Linked DNA regions of Notamacropus eugenii. The protein of the gene in region 3 purifies or fractionates together with the protein of the main gene of each other region. This does not show direct contact. Links are inferred from orthologs where the notes say so. Each region holds a gene or a part of one and is shown on either strand. Other genes may lie near its edges.

Evidence for each region.
Region 1: the proteins of STK26 (region 3) and SIKE1 purify together in Homo sapiens (affinity purification with mass spectrometry; 4 studies listed by BioGRID and IntAct, with this or other methods). This does not show direct contact. The link is inferred for Notamacropus eugenii from reciprocal best matches to the Homo sapiens genes STK26 and SIKE1.
Region 2: the proteins of STK26 (region 3) and CTTNBP2NL purify together in Homo sapiens (affinity purification with mass spectrometry; 4 studies listed by BioGRID and IntAct, with this or other methods). This does not show direct contact. The link is inferred for Notamacropus eugenii from reciprocal best matches to the Homo sapiens genes STK26 and CTTNBP2NL.

The regions. Positions count from the first base shown.
Region 1 is NC_092873.1:294,108,172-294,116,168, forward strand, and holds the start of SIKE1 (suppressor of IKBKE 1), read right to left. Parts: upstream 3,039-7,997; 5' UTR 2,853-3,038; coding exon 2,694-2,852; intron 2,579-2,693; coding exon 2,473-2,578; intron 1,807-2,472; coding exon 1,664-1,806; intron 847-1,663; coding exon 733-846; intron 1-732.
Region 2 is NC_092873.1:291,455,683-291,463,162, reverse strand, and holds the start of CTTNBP2NL (CTTNBP2 N-terminal-like protein), read right to left. Parts: upstream 3,039-7,480; 5' UTR 2,955-3,038; intron 2,947-2,954; exon of another isoform or gene 2,817-2,946; intron 1-2,816. UniProt on the Homo sapiens protein: Regulates lamellipodial actin dynamics in a CTTN-dependent manner. Associates with core striatin-interacting phosphatase and kinase (STRIPAK) complex to form CTTNBP2NL-STRIPAK complexes.
Region 3 is NC_092879.1:53,710,394-53,717,538, forward strand, and holds the start of STK26 (serine/threonine-protein kinase 26), read left to right. Parts: upstream 1-4,116; 5' UTR 4,117-4,193; coding exon 4,194-4,235; intron 4,236-7,145. UniProt on the Homo sapiens protein: Serine/threonine-protein kinase that acts as a mediator of cell growth. Modulates apoptosis. In association with STK24 negatively regulates Golgi reorientation in polarized cell migration upon RHO activation.

The sequences.
Region 1 (7,997 bases), on a different chromosome or scaffold from region 3:
AGATAGGAGGGGATCACTTGCACTTGCAAGAGTTGGAATATCAATACAGTGAACAACTAAAGAAAGTATGGTAAGAGAAATCCTATGAAATAAAACTGGAATGGTAGGTGGGTGCTAGTTGTAGCATTCTTTAAATGTGTTTTATAGAGGAAACAGGGGGCCATCAGAGAGTTTTGAGTAAGGGGTATGTGGAAAACGGATTAGAGGATGTATCTGCAGGTAGGGGTATCAGTTAGAGGGCAACTGTAATAGTCTATCAGAGCATATAAAATCCTGAACGAGGGTAGAACAGGAAGGAGAAAAAAAGAGAACAGATGAAAGAGATGTTACTACAGTGTTTGGCCTTAGGAAGCACTCAGTGAATCCTTGTTAACTGACAGGGAGGAGACAGTGAAGAGGAGGGGGAAACAGCAAGACTTGACAAGTCACTGGATTTGTTCGTGGAAGTCAAGTCATTTTCTCCAAAACTGAGACTACAGCCCATAAGGATGGTAGTGCCCTCAAAAGAAACCAAAGTAGTATGAAGGAGGAATAGATTTTTGGGGAAAGATAGTTGGACATGTTGAGTTTAAAATGCCTACGGGACACCAGGCAGTTAGCAGTATAGGACCAGAGTTCAAGAGAGAGATTAGGGTTGCATACACAGATTTGAGAGTCATCTGCTGAGACATCATCATTAAGGTGCTATGACTGAAAGATATACTTTTCTGATAGCAAAAACAATATTCTTACCTCCAGTTGGGCTAGTTTTTCCTGAATCTTGCAAAACTGGTCGTCATCCACCTGAACAGCTTTCCTCATCACTTCTCCCATTTCACAGATTCTATCAATCTGACTTTCAATTTCCTGTTAAGATATTAAGTATATTAATTCTGCACTGCCTGTAGGAAGAATAACAAACAAAACAAAAAGTAAAATGCTTATGAGAAGACTGAGTAACATCATCCCAGTTAATCAATATCTCACCTATCTAATCAATGGCTGGACCTTTCCATATCTACATGCCCATATCTTTCTAACCCTTCTTGTCTTGAAGGGGTCTGTCTCTGTCTCACACTATACTGTAATCTATAGCAAATGCTCTTCAAGTTCCTATGTATTGGCTTTCTCCAGCTAAATGACAAATTCCTCAAGTACTTGAATAGAAGCTGTATTTCTTCCACTCTCTCCTCCCTGAGTCATTAAGGATTCACTGAGTACTTCCCACCTGGTCAAATACTGTATACTCTGTAAGAGCTTAAAAAAAAAAAAAAAAAAGCTTTTTGAATGACTACAGTGAAAGGTCTTACAAACACTTGATATCATTCAGGGTAAAGTAAATACACAGCTCTGACCTCCATAAACAGTCCATAAGAATGCAATTATTTCCGCTATTGATTCTTCTCTTTCATATTTACCACTCTTTTATGGTATAAAATCATAGCAAACACAGGCCTCAGAGCAAGGATATTATTAAAACATTAACAATAAAGTGATAAACATAAAAAGAAAGATAACTTTTCTTGAGGAAAAAAAAATCCTACTATCCCTGCCAGTTCTTATCCTTTATATTTCTCTTTCTGAGTTAAACTCCTTAAGAAAGCTCTCTATAGGGCAAGAAATTTATAAAAACAATTTCTAGATTCAATTCAATTTAACAGATATTTATTGTGAAACTTCTTACTAAAGAATGAGACTGGTGGGCTTTCAAGACAGGTTCAGCATCCACTGCTTTTTTAGCAATCATTAATTGTAGCATCTGTTTTCTGTACTTGCTCATGATGAGTTCCAAAGCATCCTGGTGTTCCTCCAAGGAAATCCACAACTCTATCAAAGAATAAGTAAAATAAATTGGCAGTGATATCTGAGACAGTGAAGAATCTCCACCCCATCGGAGACTGAAAAACTTAACAGCATATTTACCCCGACTAATGGTGCCTATAATTTTAGCTAATGTTCCATACATTACTAATCAAAGCACTTTAGATTCCTCTTCAACAAAAATTTATGATACTCTATGGTATATCTATGTTTATATACACATGTATGTATGTATATACACCTATAGATACACATACACACATTTAAATTTAAGTAAAGTTGAATAACATTTTAAGGATTTCACCAAGAAGTAGGAAGTCACTGCTTTAGAATAGTGAACTGAATTCATCTGAAAGTACTGTCCTTCGCAGAAACAACTCATATTTGTTCAATAAGATCATATTCACATTCGTAATAACGGGTTAAAAAACACCCTTGAACAGTACTTACTAAATTAAGACTTCTCCATTACCTACAATACTGAAAAGGATCATCTATTGACTGTTCCTATTTTCTACGAAGACTGTTATTTAGCAACAGACTTGCTTATTAAACTCACCAGTTGGGAGGTGCTGCACTGTACTCCCGTTCGTGGCCTGCGTGGGGAATAAGCTGGCCTAAACTGTGGGTTCGAAAGCGTGGCATTTGGGGGAGAAAGGCTGCTGCGCTCACCTCGGTTCTCCTGCTGCAGGTCTCGGATCTGCGTGTTCTCCTGGGACAGCAGGATGTGAGGCTTGTATCTGGACGCGTCCTTCAGGTCCGCGGCATCCTCCTGGTACTGGTAAACAGACAGACCAACCCCCGCCCAAGTCAGGCTAGAGCGGAAGGAGTCCGGCCCATCCGGGCAGGGAGGACCCCCCACCTCCCGCCCGGCCCCCGGGCCTAGGGCTGACCTGGTCCGGCAGCGCGGCGCCCGCCTCCCTCATCGCAGCCACCCGCCGGTGCAGGGCGGCCGACTGATCCACCAGGGACTCGGCGGCCGCGTCGTGCTCCCGCAGCCGCTCCAGAAGCGTCTTGGCGTCCGTCAGGATCTTCTCGATCGTGCAGCTCATAGCGGAGAACCGGGCCAAGGCGGCCCCGCAGCCACGCCACTCACCGATGCCTACGCCGCCGCCGGTTCCGGGTCTTCCGCCCACTGCCGCTGACTTCACTTCCGTAAGCGAAAAACACCCGCGCCGCTTCCGACAGCCTCGGGAGAGTCTTCCCTTGGCTCCGCAGACCGAGGGCCTCGGCCTTGCGCTTGCGCACGGCGCTCCTGCCCGGGCGCTGACCTGCGTCTCCTAAGAACCGCCCCTCGCTGTCAGGAGCGGGGGCGGGGCCAACTACGTAGGGCGGGGGGCGGGCTTTCTGTCCGGCGCCCGGGACTAGTCACTTAACCCTCTCAGCTTCAGTTTCTTCATTGCGAAAAGGATATCATGCTTTCACATTCTTTCTTGTGATTGTTAAAGGCCTTACTGGGTGTAAAGCATAGTAGTAGTGTCCCTATTCAGCCTTTGCTACTTTAGCCAGATGTGTATTTCTCTTTCTATATATATATATATATATATATATATATATACATCCATATGTGTATATATGTGTGTGTGTGTATATGTGTACGTGTATATGTGTGTATATGTGTGTGTGTGTGTATACATATATATGTATACATTCTTGCCCAAATTACTTTTATTTTGCTACAACACTGACCTCACGGGGTCATTATGGGAATCAAATGGGATAGTATATGTAAAGCCCTTTGCAAACCATAGAGGTTTACTGCTTACTGTTATTATTGTAGAGCATGAGTTCATAATTTGAGATCCATGGAACTTGTCTGTGAATAGATTTTGAAGTTGGATGGGAAAAAAATTACCTTTTTATTTCAATATAAATGGTTTTCTTTGTAATTATATGTATTTTGTTTTTTGCATTTGAAAACATTCAGAGAAAAGGCTCCATAGGTTTCATCAGACTGACAAAGGGGTCCATGACCCAAAGTAGGTTGGAGACCGCTGTTATAATTTTAGAAACGCTGCTAGCCAATGGGTCCATGCATTACAAATCAAAGCATCTTAGATTCCTGTTATCCAAAAATGTATGATACTATACAGCATATCTGTGTGTATACACACATTTTGAGAATTTCTACGAATTTGGATCCCTAGTTCTGTTTCTGCTATTTGCAGGACTGCATTTGTGACTTAATTACATAACAGGTTATTTTAGTCTCTGTTCTGTGGAAAGTATTCCCACAAAGGGTTTTAATGTAGATCTTTTTTTGTTTGCATATTATTGATTGCTAAATGTAATAGTCCGATCATGATGGTGAATAAATGTCTTTAAAAAATTAGGAACAGATATGGTTTTATCAATGAAAAGGACACTAAAGGAGATTCCTTATCATTTGCCATGTTCCTGTACCCTAAGAACCTACCATGCTTTTCCATTTGACTTGTAGCTGAAACTTCCCATATGTACTGTCCTTTCCCCCTTTAGAATGTGAGCTCCTTTTCTATTTTTATCCCCAAAGCTTAGGAAAGAACTTTGAACATAGTAAGTGCTTTTTCATTTTACATAAATGCTTTTTCATTTATTCATTCTAAAAACCTGTGACTCAAAGGGTCCTCTCATTAGTGAAAATTGATTACACAGTGGTTCATGCCTGCTTGAGGGGAGGGATTGGTGGGAGTCTGAGAAGGGAAAGATCCTGGTCTTCTGGCTTCCAGATTTGTTCTAAACTCCCTTCAGATCCCTGAAGCGAGTGAAAGACTCTGGAAAGCAACCAACATATTGCAGAGCTGGCACTCTCTATTATGTTCCTATCCTCAACTTAATACACTAGGGATTTCAGGGAATTTCCCTTAGGGTGAGATCTGAGACTCTTTAAGTTGAGCTGAGATTTTTCGCTCCCATTGGGAGAGTTCATTTACTCTGTATTGTCTGGTATGTTTTCTCCTGTGAATATTTTTTTCTGATTTCTCTTTTGTTATAGACTCAGGTAAATGGGTTTATTTGCTCCTTGTGGAACTGATATTTGTTGGCAAGGGAGTCAAATCTTGGATACAGAGCTTTGGAACACTCGTCTATTAAGAGAACAATCAGGAGCTTGAACCTAAAATATATCCCCTTTAGACTAACAATATTTAGAGGAACAGAAAAATATGGTTCTATCCCAGTGTTCTTTCTTTGAGGAGACCAGAGTGGCGGGTCTCAGGCCCTAATCTCCTGTTTCTTCTCCCTGAGGAAGATTCAAAGTCTTCCTTAGAGAAGAGCTTAAGGAGTGGGGCAGGGGAGATTAGAGATACCTATTCTTGATTATCTATGAACTACATCTTTATGGACCCATGTAGGCACATATAATCTTCTTGGGCAAAACAACAAACAAGGCACCACACACATGCTGACAAGTCAATTATTTATTCATTCAATGGAAGGGGTGTGTCTGAGTCTCTCTATAACCCCTAACATTGATCAGGAATTTCTTTGTACCTCCTAAAGGAGGAAGAAAGAATGAACACTTCTTTTATTTCTTTTACTAACTATGAATGCAACCACTATGTCACCAGGTATAGGTGGAATGATCTCTTTGTGTCCAGGAGGCCGGACAAAATTAAGCTGAAGGTCAAATTTAGTCCATAAAACAGAGATATCCCACTCATGCTCTAGAGTCTTTGGTGATTGCTTGAAAGACCATGTTTTGCTGGTGATGAGTTGTGATGAAAAGAGGGACAGAAAGTCCAAAGGAATCATAGAGAACAGAAGGAAAGAAGAATTGGAGAAAAAAAATAAGTAGATAAGGTAAAAAATAATGTTCAAGTGTCACCTTTGAGAGTCATTTCTTGAGTGTTCCTCTGTCCATGCAGCCCAACAGCTCCCCCTTCCTGCCTCTCCATCATTCTGGAAGAAGGGAGAGAGAGACAGATAAATAGAGACAGAAAGAGAAAGACAATGTGCATTTAGAAACTAGAAAATCAACAATAAACACAAAAAAAGCAAAAAAAGAGTAAATATTGAAAGAGAAAGTGGAAAACAAAGATGATAAACCTAAAAATAGCACCATTGAAAATATACAATCAACAAACCTTTAGCTAAGGTTATTTTCCTAGTTATCAAAAAAAAGAGGGAGGGAAATAAAATGATCAGAATAAAAAAATCAAGTAAAGTGAAATTATAACAGAGCAGAATTTAAAAAAAATATAATCAGAATCACTTCACACAATTATATACTATCAAAGACAAGAGACTTTAAATGAAATAGATTATCTATTAAAACATAAAATACTTGAATTAACTGAACTTCAAATAGAAATCTTAAACAACCCAATCGTAGGAAATGAAATTGAAAAAGGCATAAAGGAACTATCAAACTTTCTCTGTCTGTCTGTCTGTCTGTCTGTCTTTCCCCACCTATCTATTTTCTATAAAGAAACACTTTGGCCAAGGTAAATTTCATCAAACAAAAAAAGAAAGAATGTCCATGATACATAAATTATTCTCAAAAATTAAGCAAACTTATCAAATTCTGATCCTAAACCATAAAGGATAAAGCAAAGAAAGAGAGCTATAGACTAATATGACTAATGAATATTTATTAAAACTAAAGTAAATTCCAGCCAAAAGACGATAGCAACATAGACAAAAAACTATTTACTATGAAACAATTGACTTTATGCCAGGGATGCTAAGATGGTTCAAAATTAGAAAAAGAAAAAATATTAATTATATTGAAAAACAAAGAAAGGCAGCATGATTCAGACTCAAGAAGACCTTCAAAATCGGGAAAACCTGAGTGGAAGTCTTGTCTCTGACATGTGATGGGACATGCAACCTTGGGCAAGACACTTAACCTTTAGCTCTCTTATACTCTAGGTTGCAGACCAGATGATGATCTGAATTCAGAGAGGGATTTTCCTCATGAGGTCTTCCATATACTAATGAAATTGCATGTGTGGTCCAAAATCTGTTCCCATAAAAGCTATATCATTATAGAAATAGGTGTGGACAAAACCTTTAACAAAGTAAAACATTCATTTAAATTTAAAAAATACATTTAAAGTATTGGTATAGAAGGGCCACTTTTTATTATGAAAAAAAGTATGTATGTTAATCTGAAAGTCAGCCTTTTTTTGCCATGGGGAAGCACTAGAAACTGGCCTAATAAATACAGAACTCAAATGAACTTATCTTCTATCCCTACTCTTATTTGACATCATCCTAGAAAAGTTTGGGGTTCTAGAAGAGTCAAGAAGAGAAGAAGTTAACTCTGTCTGCACACATCAATCAATCAACAAACATTTTTAAAAGTACTAGATTCTGTGCTGACTACCTAGATGGTGCAATGGATAGAGTGTGGAGACTGGAGTCAGGAAAACTCATCTTCTTAAGTTCAAATCTGGCCTCAGACACTTACTAGCTGTGTGCCACTGGGCAAGTCACTTAACCCCGTTTGCCTCAGTTTCCTCATCTGTAAAGGAAATGGCAAATCACTTCAGTATCTCTGCCAAGAAAACTCCAAATGGGGTCATGAAGAGTTGGGCATGGCTAAAAAAAAAATGACTGAACAAAAATTGGACTAAGTTACTGCTTTCAATTTACATTCTATCAGGAGTGTCAAAAGTGAATTTTGGGGGAACTAACTGGTCTTTCCGGAGCTGACATAATTAACTCCAATCTGTAATCACCATTTTACCATGTATTGCCTTAGTGTGTAATATTGCTAGACTTCCTTGAATGTCTCCTTTAATTGAATGTCAGACTTTAGTTACTATAAAAGGATTTTTGTTTGTTTGCTTTTGCAAAGAAGGACTCCAATAGCCTTGATTTGTCTGGCAGGTGATGTAGGGTTCCCTTTGATCTGTTGTGAATAGCTATGCTAACAAGGGCACATTCCTCCTTTTCTAATAAGTGATTAACGTCTTCTTTTGTTATAACAAATACTTCTTCTTCTTCTATGTTCTGAACAACCCTGTTCTGTAATAAGCAGAACATTGTCTCACGTATTACATGAATGATAGACTGGTATAAGTATCGTTAGTTGAGTTGTAACAAACATACGTGTTCATCATCTATTGCTGGAGTGAGTCTTTCTCGGAGTAAATAAATTGCAGTTTTTCCTATGTCTGTTTCCTTTGCTGTTTTATTGCCAGGGGCTAGTTAAGATCCTAAAAGAATTCATGCAACAGAACAAACAAGTATACATATGTGTATATAGAATG
Region 2 (7,480 bases), on a different chromosome or scaffold from region 3:
GAGGGGATTGTTTATAGTATCATGATAGGCCTCATCTTATCAAAGAGTTATCTTGGTAGGTCTACACCAAGGTGACAGGTTCTCAGTCTTTCTCTGAGATGAACAAGACCAAACAGGTGCTGTAATGATGACCAAGACATACAAAATGCCAGTTTTTATTTACTCTGCCAAATAATCCAATAGCGTGATGGGCCTTGGCAATTCATTTCTTTGGCTTTATGTCTGTCATCTTTTTTTGTTCTGCATCTTGATGAGCCTGATCATTCCCTTTGAGTTTCTGTAGCTCTAGTTGAGGCGCCCATGTATTAATCTCTCCATATACTTCTCTATGTACATAGTAAACAACTCTCCAAGTGCTTCCAACCAGCCTCAGATCTTTTTTGCTCTTTCTGATGATTTTTGAGAACAATCTTTAAATAGATCTCTGTAGAAGGATTGAAGGCTCCAAATCTACAACTCACAAATCATTACCCTGGGGAAGTTTAAAATGTACTTTGTAATTGGAATTGACTTTCTCAGTATCCCCTCCACTTTGCACAGTTGGCTGTATAACCTGGGGCAAGTCACTTAAGCTCTTAGTGCCTCTGTTTCCTCACCTGGAAATGGGGATAATAATAGCACCTATTTCACTAGAGTGCAGTGAGGGTCAAATGAGATAACATCTGTAAAGTGCTTTGCCAACCTTAAGGTCCCATAGAATTGTTACCTATTATTATTATAGCACATGTTGTTCAGTAGTGTCCTGCTCTTCGAGACTTTATTTAATGTTTTCTTGGCAAAGATAGTGGTATGGCTTGCCATTTTCTTTCTCAGCTCATTTTACAGAAGAGGAAACTGAGGCAGACAAAGCTTAAGTGACTTGTCCAGTTACTTAACACCCAGCTAGTAAGTATCTGAGGTCAAATTTGAACTCAAGTCTTCATCACTGTAGGCCTAGCCTACCATGTAGCTGCCCTATTATTAGCAAATAATAGGTATTTAATGATGCTTATTGATTTGACTTAGAAGTAAAAGCAATAATAATATCTACGGGAAATGTACACCCTCTGTGACTGGTCCTAAGTAATCACTTTGTCATAACACTACACCAACATTAAGGGTAACTTACAAGTGAAAATTAAGGAAGTAACGTTAAAATGTATGATGAATTGTTACACATGCAAAGTGTTACCCTATTGGATGTCCACTGACAGTCCAATGGCACTCATGCTAATGGAAATTCCAAAATACTAACCACATACCATAAATTACAGTGAGCGGAAAGCACTGGACTAGTAGTCAGAAGGCCTGAGATTGAGTCTTGTCTCTGCCTCTCAGACTACCTTACTTTAGCGGGAGGTCACTGCACCACTCTGTAAAATGAAGAGATTGTACTACAAGATCTCTAAGAATATGGAAAGAAATAAGGGTTGGGCAAGCGGCACAGTGCTGAATTTGATCCGGAAGACCTAAAATTCAGAAAATCCTCTAGCAGACACTAGCAGTGAACCTAAGCAAATCACTCCATCGCTGTCCTCCTCCCTTTCCTCAACTGTAATAATGTAGCACCTCCCTCCCGGATTGTTGCGAGGATCAAATGAAATATGTGTTAACTGCTTAGCTCAGTGGTTATCGGCATAGAGTAGGCGCTTAATAAATGCTTTCTGGAGTGTACACTCAGAATATCCTTTACCTTAGTGGCATATGCAGTTTACCTTGTTCAACGTACTGCGATTCTGCAGGTGAACCAAACTACATCGTTTACCTTACTATATTTTCAACTATAGAAAAGATCTGCAGCATCTAATAGTGGGTGTGGATCGAGAAGAAAGGAACCAAAGGCCATTAAACCAGATTAATCATAAACCCTCCCACCACTGGACCAGGATTTTCTTGAAACACTTCCTGCCTTTTGTTTCAAGATGTACACCTTTCAAGGGGATCCAAGTATCCCAGAGCAACCGGCCAACCTTGGGTCCCTTATTCACATTCCTACAGCGCGTCCCCACGAAGGATCCTAAGTTATCCGCTGCCTGTTTGTATTCTACACACTCGGTCAAGTCCGTCAATTAGCCAACTTGGGCAGCGGCGAGGCCCCAACAAGGAGGAGGAACCTCGAATTCCCCAGGGAATTCGTGGAGGGAGTAGGGAGGTGGAGATCAAAGGCAGCAAACCCCACAAGACCGCAGCCTAAGGACCGACCTGGGCTCCCCCAAAGCGGGGACGGGAGGAGGGAGGGGCAGCTCTAAAGCCCGGGAGACTCCCTTTGCCCAGGCCAGCTACATGGGCTTCCTCCCCGGGCTGGAAGGGGAGGAAAACCAGGGCTTTCGGCTCGAGGGAGAAGCGAGGTCCGGGGGGCCGACTGCCGGGCTGGCATTGGGATGGGGAGGTCTTTTTCATTTACGGACGCAGGTGGGTGTGAGGGCACCGACCGAAATGGGGAGGGGACAGGGAGGGAGGGACCGAGTTGGGGCAGGTGGCGGGCTGGGGGGAGGGGACTGTCGGGGCTGAGAGGGGCGAGGGGCGGGGATGCGGGGAAGCCCTCTTCCAGAGAGGGGTGCAGAGGGGAGGGCTCCCCGTAGGGGGTGGATGGGGAGCGGGGGAAGGGGTCTGCGGCTGGACAGGAGCTGGGGCGGGCCCGGGGATCCCCTCAAAGGTTGGGGCGCCGCCTCCTCTAGGAATGGGGGGCGCGGGCAGAGAAGGAGGAGGGCCCCGCCCCCTCAGGGGATGGGGTGCTAGGGACCGGGGTGGGGGGAGGCCGGCAGTCCCACCCTCACCTTTCTCTCGAGACCCCGGTCTCCCCGCAATCCCCAAGTGCCCGGCCCAGTGGCTCCTACCTCTTCCCCGGCGCTTCGGGCTCCGCTCCCCGCCACCTCCGCCTCCCGCCTCCCATCCACGGTCCCTCGCCTCCCCTCCGCCTCCTTCCCTCCCCCCGCCGGGTCCGTGCCTTGACAGCCTCCCGGACCAATTGTCACCTCAGCCTCGCGGCTCGCTGACCAATGCCCGCCGGGCGGAGGCGGGGCTTCTCCAATGTCATTCAGGCTCCTCCCCGGGCCCCAAGATCCCTTTTGTTTGGGGAGAGCCGGGCAGGGATTGAGCTCGCGTCACTTCCGGCGGGAAGAGCTCTCCTCCCAGCCTGGCGCGCGGCTCGGCTCTCGCGCCCCATCCTGCTGGGCTCCATCGCCGCTCGCCGGGCCGCGGCAGGGGGCGTGCATGCCTTCGCCTGGTCCTCGACGGAGCGGGAAGGACTTGGCGTTCTTTCCCGGGATGATGTTCCCGGCTTGCAGTTGTGCCCCGCGGGGCTTGGGCTTTAGGATTCGGATTCCATCGCCCAGCTCACTAATACTCTCATTTGTGATCTCCTTCTGGTACTCACTTTAAGAACGAGACTCTTCTTTGTCCTTGGCTGCCCTAGCGGAGATGCCTTGGGAACGGCCAAGGGGGACAGCAGATCGCCCTTCCGGTCTGGACCTTGGCCTTGCCTGCAGCCAGACCCCACGTGTTGGCAGTGGGAGGGTGGTGGAAACTGAGTGTGCAGTGGGATGGTCCCATAGAATGCAAATGCCTTGAAGGCAAAGACTGATTTTTTTTTTTTTGGTACCTCCCAAGGTTTAGCGCTGTCAATAGACATGGATCCCACCATGTGCTATGGGGATACAAAGGCCAAAAAAATAATCCTACCCTCAAGGAGCTCAGGAGGGTGACAACGTGCAAGCAACTATGTGAAACCCAAATATAGATATGCAAACGTGGACATATGTCCATATGCCCGTATGTACGTAAGTGGGGAAGTAGACATAACCAATATCTTGGGAAGATTCAGAGCCTTCCATCTTCCAAAGTCCTGATTTCAAGTTCCGTCTCTTGAAGGACATTACTGATGAGATTGAATTAATCTTGGTCAGATCTTACCCCACTTGCTTGGAATTTAATCTAAGGTGGGGGAGCCCATTGTGTTCTACTCAAACTTGGGTGGAAGTAGATCCTTTGGTCTAGATAGCCCAAAGCTGCGGGTGAACTGAGTTTGGAGATAGTTTCTCTCTCCAAGGGTAACATGATGTCACTCTCAGCCCCCCATTGAACACCTCTTCTTTGAAGGGTATATGAACTGCGAGCGCACTGCCATGATTGTTTTTGCTCCAAGGGGGCCATCTGCACTGGTCCTGATCTATATCTTGCCAATGGATCCAGATATCTGAGGAGGAGAGAGTGAGGCTGGTGACTTTGCACAGACTTCCCTCTCAAATCAATTCACTTGCAAGTCATGGCATCATCTTTCTGATGTCTTGGTTCTCTTTCAGAACAAAGGTCAAACAACATCTTTGGTCTAAGAGAGACAGCCAAAGGACTATCCTTTTATTAAAAACTTGCTGACCTTATTAATAAAATGATTAAATTACCCAGAAACTATGCTTCTCAAACTTTTTAATCACCACAATATGGAACTCAATCTAATGCAAACAACTATGCAAAAACAAGATATATGCACATGTCATATATGTATATACATGCTCACATGTGTATGTGTAATACATATACACACATATCCTATGATAAACAAGAATTAACCAATAGAGGGAAAACACTAGATTTAAGAGGAATTTGGAAGGCTTCCAGTACAAAGTAGGATTTTAGCTAGGACTTGAAGGAAGTCAGGGAAGCCTGGAGGCAGAAGTGAAAAGGGAGATCACATCAGGGATGGGGGACAGCAAGTGACAATGCTCAGAGATAAGAGATGGAGTATCTCTCAGAAGAACTGCACGTAGAGTATGGAAAGTATGAGGAATTGTAAGATACAAGTAGACTGGAAAGACAAAGAAGACTGGAAAGACAAAGAAGACTGTGTGGGGTGGGGAGGGCAGGAGGGTAGATTATAAAGGGCTTTGAATGCCAGATAGATCCTGGAGGTGATAGGGAGCCATTGGAGTTAATTGAGTAGGGGATGTGGCATGATTGGAGTTGCATTTTAGGAAATCCACTTTAGTGGATGAATTGAGGATGAATTGGAGCAGGGAGAGACTTGAAGCAGACATATTCACCAGTGGGCTGTTTCAATAGTGGCCTAATTAACACCAAGAAAACACAGGTGCTCTATCAGCCATCAGCACACCATCTATACAAATGGAGAAGCTTTGAATGCTGTGGATAAGTTCACTTACCTTGGTAGTGTACTTTCCAGGGATGTACACATTGACAATGGGGTTGACGCACACATTGCCAAAACTAACTCAGTGTTTGGGAGGCTCCAAAGAAAAGTTTGGGAGAGAAGAGGTATTGGACTGACTTCCAAGCTGAAGGTCTACAGAGCTGTTGTGCTGACCTCATTGTTGTATGCCTGGGAAAAATGGACAGCCTACCAGTACCATGCCAGGAAACGGAATCATTTCCATTTGAACTGTCTTAGGAAGATTCTGAGGATCACCTGGCAGGATAAGGTATCAGATGCTGAAGTCCTTGCTTGAGCTGAACTGCCAAGTATTCAAACTATGCTTCAGAGTGTGTAACTCCTATGGGCTGGCCACGTTGTTTGAATGCAAAATGTACATTTGCGACTGTTTTATGGAGAACTCACATGGGGCAGGTGATCACATGGTGGTCAGAAGAAGTGATACAAGGATGCTCTCAAGGTCTCTCTCAAGAACTTTAGATTTGATTATGGGACTGGCACAGGACTGCTCAGCATGGCATGCCCACATCAGAAAGGGTGATGTGCTCTATGAGCAAAGCAGAATTGAGACAGCACAAAGTAAATGTAGAATGTGCAAATTTGGAGTATCTACCCCAAATGTTCACATGGACTATCTGTGCCCAACCTGTGGTAGAGCATTCTGAGCTCGTATGGGTCTGATCAGCCACAGTTGGACACACTGTAACTTGAGTTTATCATAGTAATGTCATTTTGGTCCTCGTGGAGAACCAAGGACAACAACCAACCAACTTCAATAGTCTAGGTGTGGTTAGGTGATGAAGTGGATAGAGTACCTAGAGTCAGGAAGACTCCTTTTAAGGAATTCAAATTCAGCCTCTGACACTTACTAGCTATGTAACCTTGGGCAAGTCACTTTTCCCTGTTTGCCTTAGTTTCTTCGTCTGTAAAATAAACTGGAGAAGGAAATGACAAATCAGTCACAGTATCTTTGTCAAGAAAACCCTAAATGGGGTCGTAAAGAGTTGGACATGACTGAACCCTCCCCAGCTAAATAACAGTGAGACAAGGGGGTGAATTTGAGAGATGTTGCAAAGGTAAAATCCAAAAGGTAAAAAAAGGTAAAAATGTTGCCTTGGCAACAGATTGGTGTGTGTGTGTGTGTGTGTGTGTGTGTGTGTGTGTGTGTGTGTGTGTATGTGTGAAAGAGAGAGAGAGAGGATCCAGGATGACTCTTACTTTCTTCACTTTTAAAATGAGAGAATTGGATAAGATGATCTGTACTATCCCTTCTCTCTCAACTATTTTTATGATAAATTTTTATACTTTTAAATCTGTCTCTCCCAAACTTCTATCACTCTTTCTCCTACCCCCCACACCCAGGCCAAGCATAAGGGATATGTAGATCAAAAGGACCTTAGATATACTCCAAAATCTAATCCCCGTTCTATAGTATCAGCCCTTCAAATAATTCAAGACACCTTACCAAGGGTTTCCTCCGTTTTTATGGACTGCTTGGAGCACAATCCCTGCTGGTGCTTGGAAGACCAACACTGAGTGATAGAGTAAAGATGTCGTGAGTGAAATTGCTTTTATGAGTACAATGGAGGTCAAAATCTCAGGATTCCATGATGGAAGATTACACCATCCAATCTGTTTCACCGCTATATTAATAATCACAAGAGGGACAGAGTAAGAAAGTATAGTGTAAACCTAACAGGACTAAACAGAAAAAAACTATTCAGTATGACAGCCAACTTGTTTGTGGTGGCCTAATGGTGTCACCTTGTATATGAAGGACAGCAAATTCATTCATGGATTATCTAATTCTTGGATGCTTCTGGATATAGCACAATTGGTAAGGGAAGGATGACAGAATCAGAGACCACCCTTCTCTGCCCTTTAGTCTGCTATTTGCATTCTGATTCGAGGGTCCAGGGAGGGGACTGGAACCTCAGTTACTATACTAGAGGCTGCTAGGAATATAAAAATGAATGTTATGGATCCTGACTTAAGGATTCTTATAGTAGGAAAAAGAGGGGGAAGAAAATGATTGAAATGTTCAAATGCAGGTTTTTCCAAAAGTTTTCGTGCAGTTTTAAGTTTTTAAAACTTAAAAGACTTTGGGGATACCTTGTATAGGCTAGGTGCTGGTATAGATATAGGTCCACAAATAGTTTCATTTCCTTCTCCTCCCATTTGCTCTGCAATGCAATGAGGAAGTACCACATTCCTTGACAATGGGGAGAAGCCCTGGCTATTTTCTGCCTATTCCTGAATCACCAGGAGAGCCAGCCCGGTGATTCAGTCTTTCCTCCCCACACTCGTTGCCATCGACCTCTCCACCCAACCTTT
Region 3 (7,145 bases):
AACTGCAAAAGGAAATGGCAAAGCATTCTAGGATCTTTGCTGCCAAGAAAACCTCAAACGGGATCACGAAGAGTCATATATGACTCAGCAACATCAACATCTCTCACTCCAGACACAGTGCTTTTCCCCAGTGTACTAGATGTTGCTCTCTTTCCCTTTCCCTTACTATCCAATTAGAATGATTCATATCAAATGTAGTAGATTGGCTACAAGGCCTGGGCTTCAGAAATCTGAGTCCAAGCGCCAACTCTGCCACTTATGATGTTACCTTTCCAAGCCTCAGTTTCTTCATCTGTTCTTCTGTGCAATATGAATAGTGGGCTCTGTATACTTTGACACTATGAAATATTTCCCCTCTGAAATGTTCAATGATGCAACGAAAACATACTTGATGATTTTTGCAGGTTAACTTCCAGTTTGTTCCAAAATTTCCTTGACAAAACCCCTCCTCCTTTTCTCTTTGGGTTATTTGATGTCTTCAGACCTCCTGGGCCAGTATTTATGGACTGCTGTGGCTACACAAGTTTAGGAAATTAGGTAATGGGAAGCTATTATAAATTCTGAAGAGTGTGGTCTTTTAGAAAGAATGTATTTTAGGATGATTAATCTCAGATAAGGATGAATTAGAGGTGGGAGAGAACAGAGTCAGGGAGACCAGCTCAGTGACTATTAAAAGTAATTGAAGTGTGATGTGACTAGGGGTGGTTGAAGTAGGAACATTCATATCAAAAAGTATGGTCAGTCCAAGTCAGTTAGGTAAATAAATGTGAAGTCCAGCATCACAAGGTTAATTTAATACAGAGTATTATCCTTTATTAAATACATATAGAAGCTAAAGGAAGCTAGATTTGCTCTCAAAGGGCCTTAGTTAGAATCCTAACTCTACCTATCTCTCTACCTACGTGACCTTACCTTGGATAAGGGAGGGAGAGTTAGTGTATGACATTTTGTTTGCAGATGATTGTGCACTCAATGCAGCCTCTGAGGTTGAGATACAACAAAGTATGGATTGATTCTCTGATGCTTCTGCTTCAGCCAGCACCACACCATCCATATGTGGAACCATCAGCAAATGGAGAAATTTTGAATGCTGGGGATAAATTCATTTACCTTGGCAGTATACATTCCAGGCATGTGCACATTGATCATAAGGTTGACACACTCATTGCCAGAGCTAGCTCAGTGTTTGAGCAGCTCCGAAGGAAAGCATGAGAGATAAGAGGTATTCGGCTGTCTACCAGACTGAAGGTCTACGGAGCCACTGGGCTGACCTCATTATTGTATGCCTATGAAATCCAGACAGTCTACCAGCACCATGTCAGGAAATGGAATGGCTTCCATTCAAATTGTCTTAGGAGGATTTGAAGATCACCTGGCAAGATAAAGTACCAGACACTGAGGTTCTCTCTCAAGCTGAACTGTTAAGCATTCAAACTGTACTGCAGAAAAAACTCAGCTCTGATGGGCTGGCCAAACATTTGCGTAAAAGATTATTTTATGGAGAACTCACACAAGGTAAACACTCATATGGAGGTCAGAAGCAGTGATACAAAGACACTCTCAAGGTCTCTCTGAAGAACGTTGGAATCAGTAGGGAGACATGAGAGACACTGGCCCAGGACCACCTAGCATGGTGTGCCCACATCAAAGAAGGCACTGTGCTCTATGAGTAAAGCAGAAATGTAATAGCTCAAATGAAGCATGTGATAAACAAATTTAGAGACATCTCTACTGCAAATGCTCATATGAAATGTGGCAGAGCATTCCGAGCAGCCAGCAGTCAGACACACCCCAACATATAGTGATGGCATTTTGGTCCTCTTCAAGAATGAGAGATGACAGCCAACCACCTTGGGCAAGTGACCTGACATCTCTGGACCAGAGTTTCCTCCTTTGTCTAATAAGTAAGTTCGACTATATGCGTCATAAAGAAGGTCGCTTTCAGCTATAAATCTGTGATCAGGTAATCTGTTAGGAACTTTGATGTATCCCCCAAAACCTGAACTTCCTCTTCCTCCTGGCAGCCCTTCCATATCTTAGCAGACAGCCTTTATGAATTGCTGTAGCCAAAAACATCGAGCATAGTCAACCTTTTGTTTGATGGGCCTTTACTTAGGCTGGGCCTTCACACTTAAACTACAAGCCCTTTATTGGATTTGGCTTTAAATTTCAGGCTTGTTAGTACCTTGTTCTGCTGGAATAGTTTTTGAGAACACAGGGTCGGGTCACCTGGGAAATAAAATTTTATCCAATTGATCTTAAAAATTGCCTGTTTTCCCTCAAGTGTGAAATTGAGGTAGTAAGAGTGAGGTCTGAGCAAGGAGCTATGCTTATGTGTGTGCTACCTATGTCTGTGTGTGCCTAGTAATCTTGCCCATAGATGGTGAGGTCCTCTAGATACTACTGTTTGCTGGGGAAATTGTGCTGATTGCATCCAAATTGCCTAGCATTAGAGGTCTTTTTCAGTGAGATCCATGGTTACTCAAAAGGGCTCAGCCTAACACTTTAGAGAATATAAACCAAATGGATAAAAAATGCTTATTGTCCAGATAACATGCAGTTGGATGGCCTGTACATTAAGTCATCCATTAACACATATATCCTATACCCTTATAGGGGTTGCTGATGGACAATAACTTGAATCCAAGAGGAAAAGAGTGGGCTGAACTCCATTTGGGAAATTGAATAGTGCTTTTAAAGACTCTAAGGTACTATATGGTTAAAAAAAATTATTTTTAAAGACCCTTTTAACATATGCTAGAATAGATGCTGGTCTGCTCTAGAACCAAAGACATGCCCTGAGGGATATTACTGAGTCAAAGTATGACCAGAGAAGGTGTGAGCAATGTGGTGGGAACCAGGGCCATCTCACATGCTTCACTGGTATAGTCAGATGGCACAGAGAAAGCAAGAAAGGACCCACACCTTTTGCAGGAGGGGTAGAATCCCTGTGGTGATCCTATGGGAGGGCAAAGAACAGATTAACATAAGATGGGCAAAGGTGGATCAGTTGTGATTAGCGCTGTTGAAGGGAATATTCCATATAGTGGCCTACTGAAGGAGTGACCCTGGACGAGTCACTTGTTCTCCGAAGGGTTTAGTTTCGCTCTACTCTAAAATGAGGGGGAGCTGAACTCTGTAAGGACCCTTTCCCATGTGACATGTGATCTTAGCACCCAATCTCATGGCACTTCTTCACCCAAAAGCCCTGACGGGGCAAAAGAAGGTCACAGTGGGGAGAGTTCTTTCCCTCCAATTGGGCATTAGCAAGTGGCCTGAAAGTGGGCGAGGCTGAGTATGCTAAGCCCGGGGTTCTCGTTTGCTCTCGAGGCTCTGGCCGCTCGGGCGGCGGCAGCATCCACTCCACCTTAAGATCCTGCCTCTAGAGGTGATCTTGCCTCGCGTCGTGTCCCCTGCCCTCAGGGCGCCGGACCCTTCCGCCAGGGTTTCCCCCCTCCCCGAGGTCCAATTTCTTGGGAACCGCCAGAGTGGGGGCGCTTCTTAGAATCCCTGAAGCGCCTAGGGGCATCCCGTAGCGTCCCGTCCCGTCCCGTCCCGTCCGGTCCGGTTCCGCTCCGTTCCGTCCCGGAGGGCCAGGGCCAGGGGCAGGGCTCGCTGCTGGCCCGCCCTTCGCCCGCCCCTCGGGCCGGCCAGCCGCCGTTGGCGCCGCCTCCCAGCCTGCCAAAAGCGGCGAGGCGCCGGCGGACGGCATCACTGGAGCCCGCGCTGCCGCACCGCCCCGCACACGCAGCGCCGCGCGCCAGGCGGCCCGAGGCGAGCTCAGCCGAGGCAGCGCAGAGCGCAGCTCATCCGGACGGCGGCGGCGGCGGCGGCGGCGTCGGAAACAGCAGCGGCGGGAGCCGGAGCCGGAGCCGGAGCCGCAGCGGCGGCGGCGGCGGCGGCGGCGGCTGCGCAGGGAGCTCTCCCGCTCTCCTGTTCGCGCTCGGTCCCCGGGGCACGCGGACTCGGCCGGTGAGGAGGCTGAGGCGCCCGCAGCCGCGCAGCGCCCCTCACCTGCGCAGCCCTCCCCTCTTCTCTGTCCCGGGCCACTCACCGGCGACACGCCGCGCTCATCCGCTCCCCCAGGCCGCGGTGCCGGCGCCGGCGCCGCAGCCGCCAGGGCAGGCCCGCGAGGGAAGCCGGCCCGAGAGGACCGCGCCGCCGCTGCAGCCGCCGCCGCCGCCGCCCCCGCCATGGCGCACTCGCCGGTGGCCGTGCAAGTGCCCGGGATGCAGGTGAGGAGGCCCAGGCCGCCGGGGCGGCCCGACGCGGCCCAGGGGATCGGGGGTGTCTCTGGGGCTCCCCGCAGGGAGGCAGGGCCGGGGGTGGGAGGACGGCACGAGCGAGGGGGCGTACGACGGCAGGGGCTGGGATGCAGTGGAATGGGGGCCTCGATTCCGGGCACCTGCTCCCGCCGTGGGACGAAGGCAAGGTCGGGGGCTGCGGGCGGGAGGCTGCGGCAACCCCTCGGTGGGGGTCTGGGCCCCACGGCCCTTCCCCAGGAGTCGGGCCGGGCCGGGCCAGGGGTGGCGGAGGAGACGCTGAACTAACTGGGCTCTTCCTGTGGGTAGAAGAGGTGACTCTCTCTTTTTCCTTTCATTTTGGAGCTGCTGCTTCAACGGTGAAGTCTCATCCCCCTTCGCCACCTGGAAATCCGAGCTCCGGCCCGATTTCGGGGAGCCCTTCTCCGCCCCCACCTCCGTCCCCCACTCCCTCCCCTCCCCCATTTCCTAAGGGAAAGAGAAGTTTGTGCCCTGGGTAGCAGAGGACGCGTGTGCGGGACGAATATGTATTTGTACGTTATCATTCATCATGCACCCTCCCCTCCCCCCTTGACAAAATAATAATAACAAAAAGCAACAACCCACAAACACCTTCGCTTTCTTACAAAAGCAAAGTTGTTAAGCCTTTGGAAAGCCGTTGAGGAAGACAGTTAAGACATTTGGGACTGCATTTCAGGCTAGTTAGTGAAAACTGTCCAAGTCTGAACTAGTTTCTCTAAATAAGCATACACCTCTTCCTTAAACGCTCCCCCCCCCCCCCCCCCATTGCTCCAGAACTCTTTTCAGAGGCCAAGAACTTGAAAGCCTCAGTCCCTCCTCTTGTAACAGTAAGAAAACTTTTTAAAGTTCAGAAAAATGTGTTAGAGTAGTAGGCAGCCCACATTTCCAGAAACATTCCTGACCATGGATTTTCAGCCACCTGTAAAGTTTCCTTTAAAGTTTTATTGGGATTTGAATGTCATTTTATTTATCCTCTTTTATGCAAGTTCACAGAGATTTTTTTAAAGTCCTTCAAAAGGAAAAGTAATTTCTATTGTGTATATATCTAACTAGGTTTTAGCAGGGTTTCCTAATGACTAGGCCTTTTAGATAAATTCAGGGAGACTTCAGTGCCTAGTCTCAAGTTTTTACTCTTATTTTTGAGAAAATAACAGACTGAGCTCTCCTAAATTTAATCGTTTCACATCTTGTGAATTGCTCAGTCATTTCTTTAAAAATAAAACGATTTCTACTTTGGTTTATATAAAGCAAGGGCACCTTTTAACAATTCTGTTTTTATACCTGTGATTGTTATTACTATTCATAAAGTTTGGGAATCTCAGAAGTTCAGTAAGTGCTGAGGCATTCCGTGTTTCCAAATGGCTTTAAACTTGTCCTATAAATTAGTTAGCCACTCATTTTCAATGTTTATCCTCTTAGCTGCTTTTCCAGTACATAAGTGATTCAGATTAATGTTCCTTTTTCCTCAATTACAAATTGCACCCCTGTTTCTCCCCACAGAGATTGTAGTCTCATGACTCTTAAATGGATTTTTACCCCCAAATCAGTACTAGGAACACAAAAAAGATCACTTATCTGCCTCTTTTTCCTTAATGAAATTTTAAGTTCTCCACTCTTTCCGCCACCCCCCCCCCCAACATAGTTCTTAAGCTCTTGCTTTCCACAGTTAAGTTTGTACACTGCCCTAAAAATAAATATCTGACTGCATGAGCATAACTCTTAGGTCCAAGCTACTTTGAATATTCATTGTGTGATGTTGTAGATGAAGTACTTACATAGCAGAAGGGTTATTATTTTGTAAAATACAGTTAGGGAGATGTATGGAAAGTTTTCAGACATACAGTGCTAAAGAAACTTCAAAGTTAATCATATGTTTTAGAAATTACATTTTTAAAAAAGCAGATCAAGACAATTGCTCTTATAACTTTCTCCTTTAAAAAATTTTTAAAAACAGTTTAAGGAAGTTAGGAGCAAGAATTTTTCCAGAAAGTAAGTGCTCCTGGTTCACTGGCCCCAAACTGGACATTGAAATCGAACTACCTGTTCTATCTTTTAAGTCTGACCGACATTCCTGACTTTAAGATAAAGGAATTTGTGTCACTGGTTTAAAAAAAAAACTTTGAAGAAGACATAGAAATTGTTTCAGTTCTGATACTTCAGTTACTAAACCTCATAATACTTAGGTTGACAGGTTAAACTTTTCTTTTTCCAATGTTTATCTTGTACAAGACTGTCTGTATAGGTCCTCTTAAATTTAAATTTTTATTTGGTCTTGCAATTAGAAGCATTTTTTTCCTATGTTAAGAACCTAAAAGTATAGCACCACTTTTATTATTAAAATAATGTCAGTTTTCACTCCAACGTTGTTTGTTTAACCTGTAGTTGTTAATCTGTGCTGTTCTGTGACACCACTTTCCTCTGGTTCTTGAGGCAACGTGGCATAATGGTTATATTCTGAGAATTAAGAAGACCTTGATTTGAAAATTGCATTGAGATGTTAGCTGTATGATCCTGGTCAAATCACTAAATCTCATTGAGTCTCACTTTTTGTTAAATGGGGTTAACAATGAGGTAATGAGAGTACCTGCCGTATGGGCTTGAAGTGATGATTTAGTGAGGGAATGTATGTAAATCTTGCAAATCTTAAAGCTCTGTATAAATGGGTGCCATAGAAAAGGAGAAAAACGATGGCCTCTGCCTTCAAGGAACTCACATTTCAATTCATCTGGTCATATATAGAATACACACACATACACTGTAAATGGCAAGTCATCTCAGATGGAAAGTGCCGACAGTGGGTGGGACTGAAAGGTCTGCAGCAGGGGGCTTGGCGTTCAGGCAGAGATGACAGTGGTGAGCATT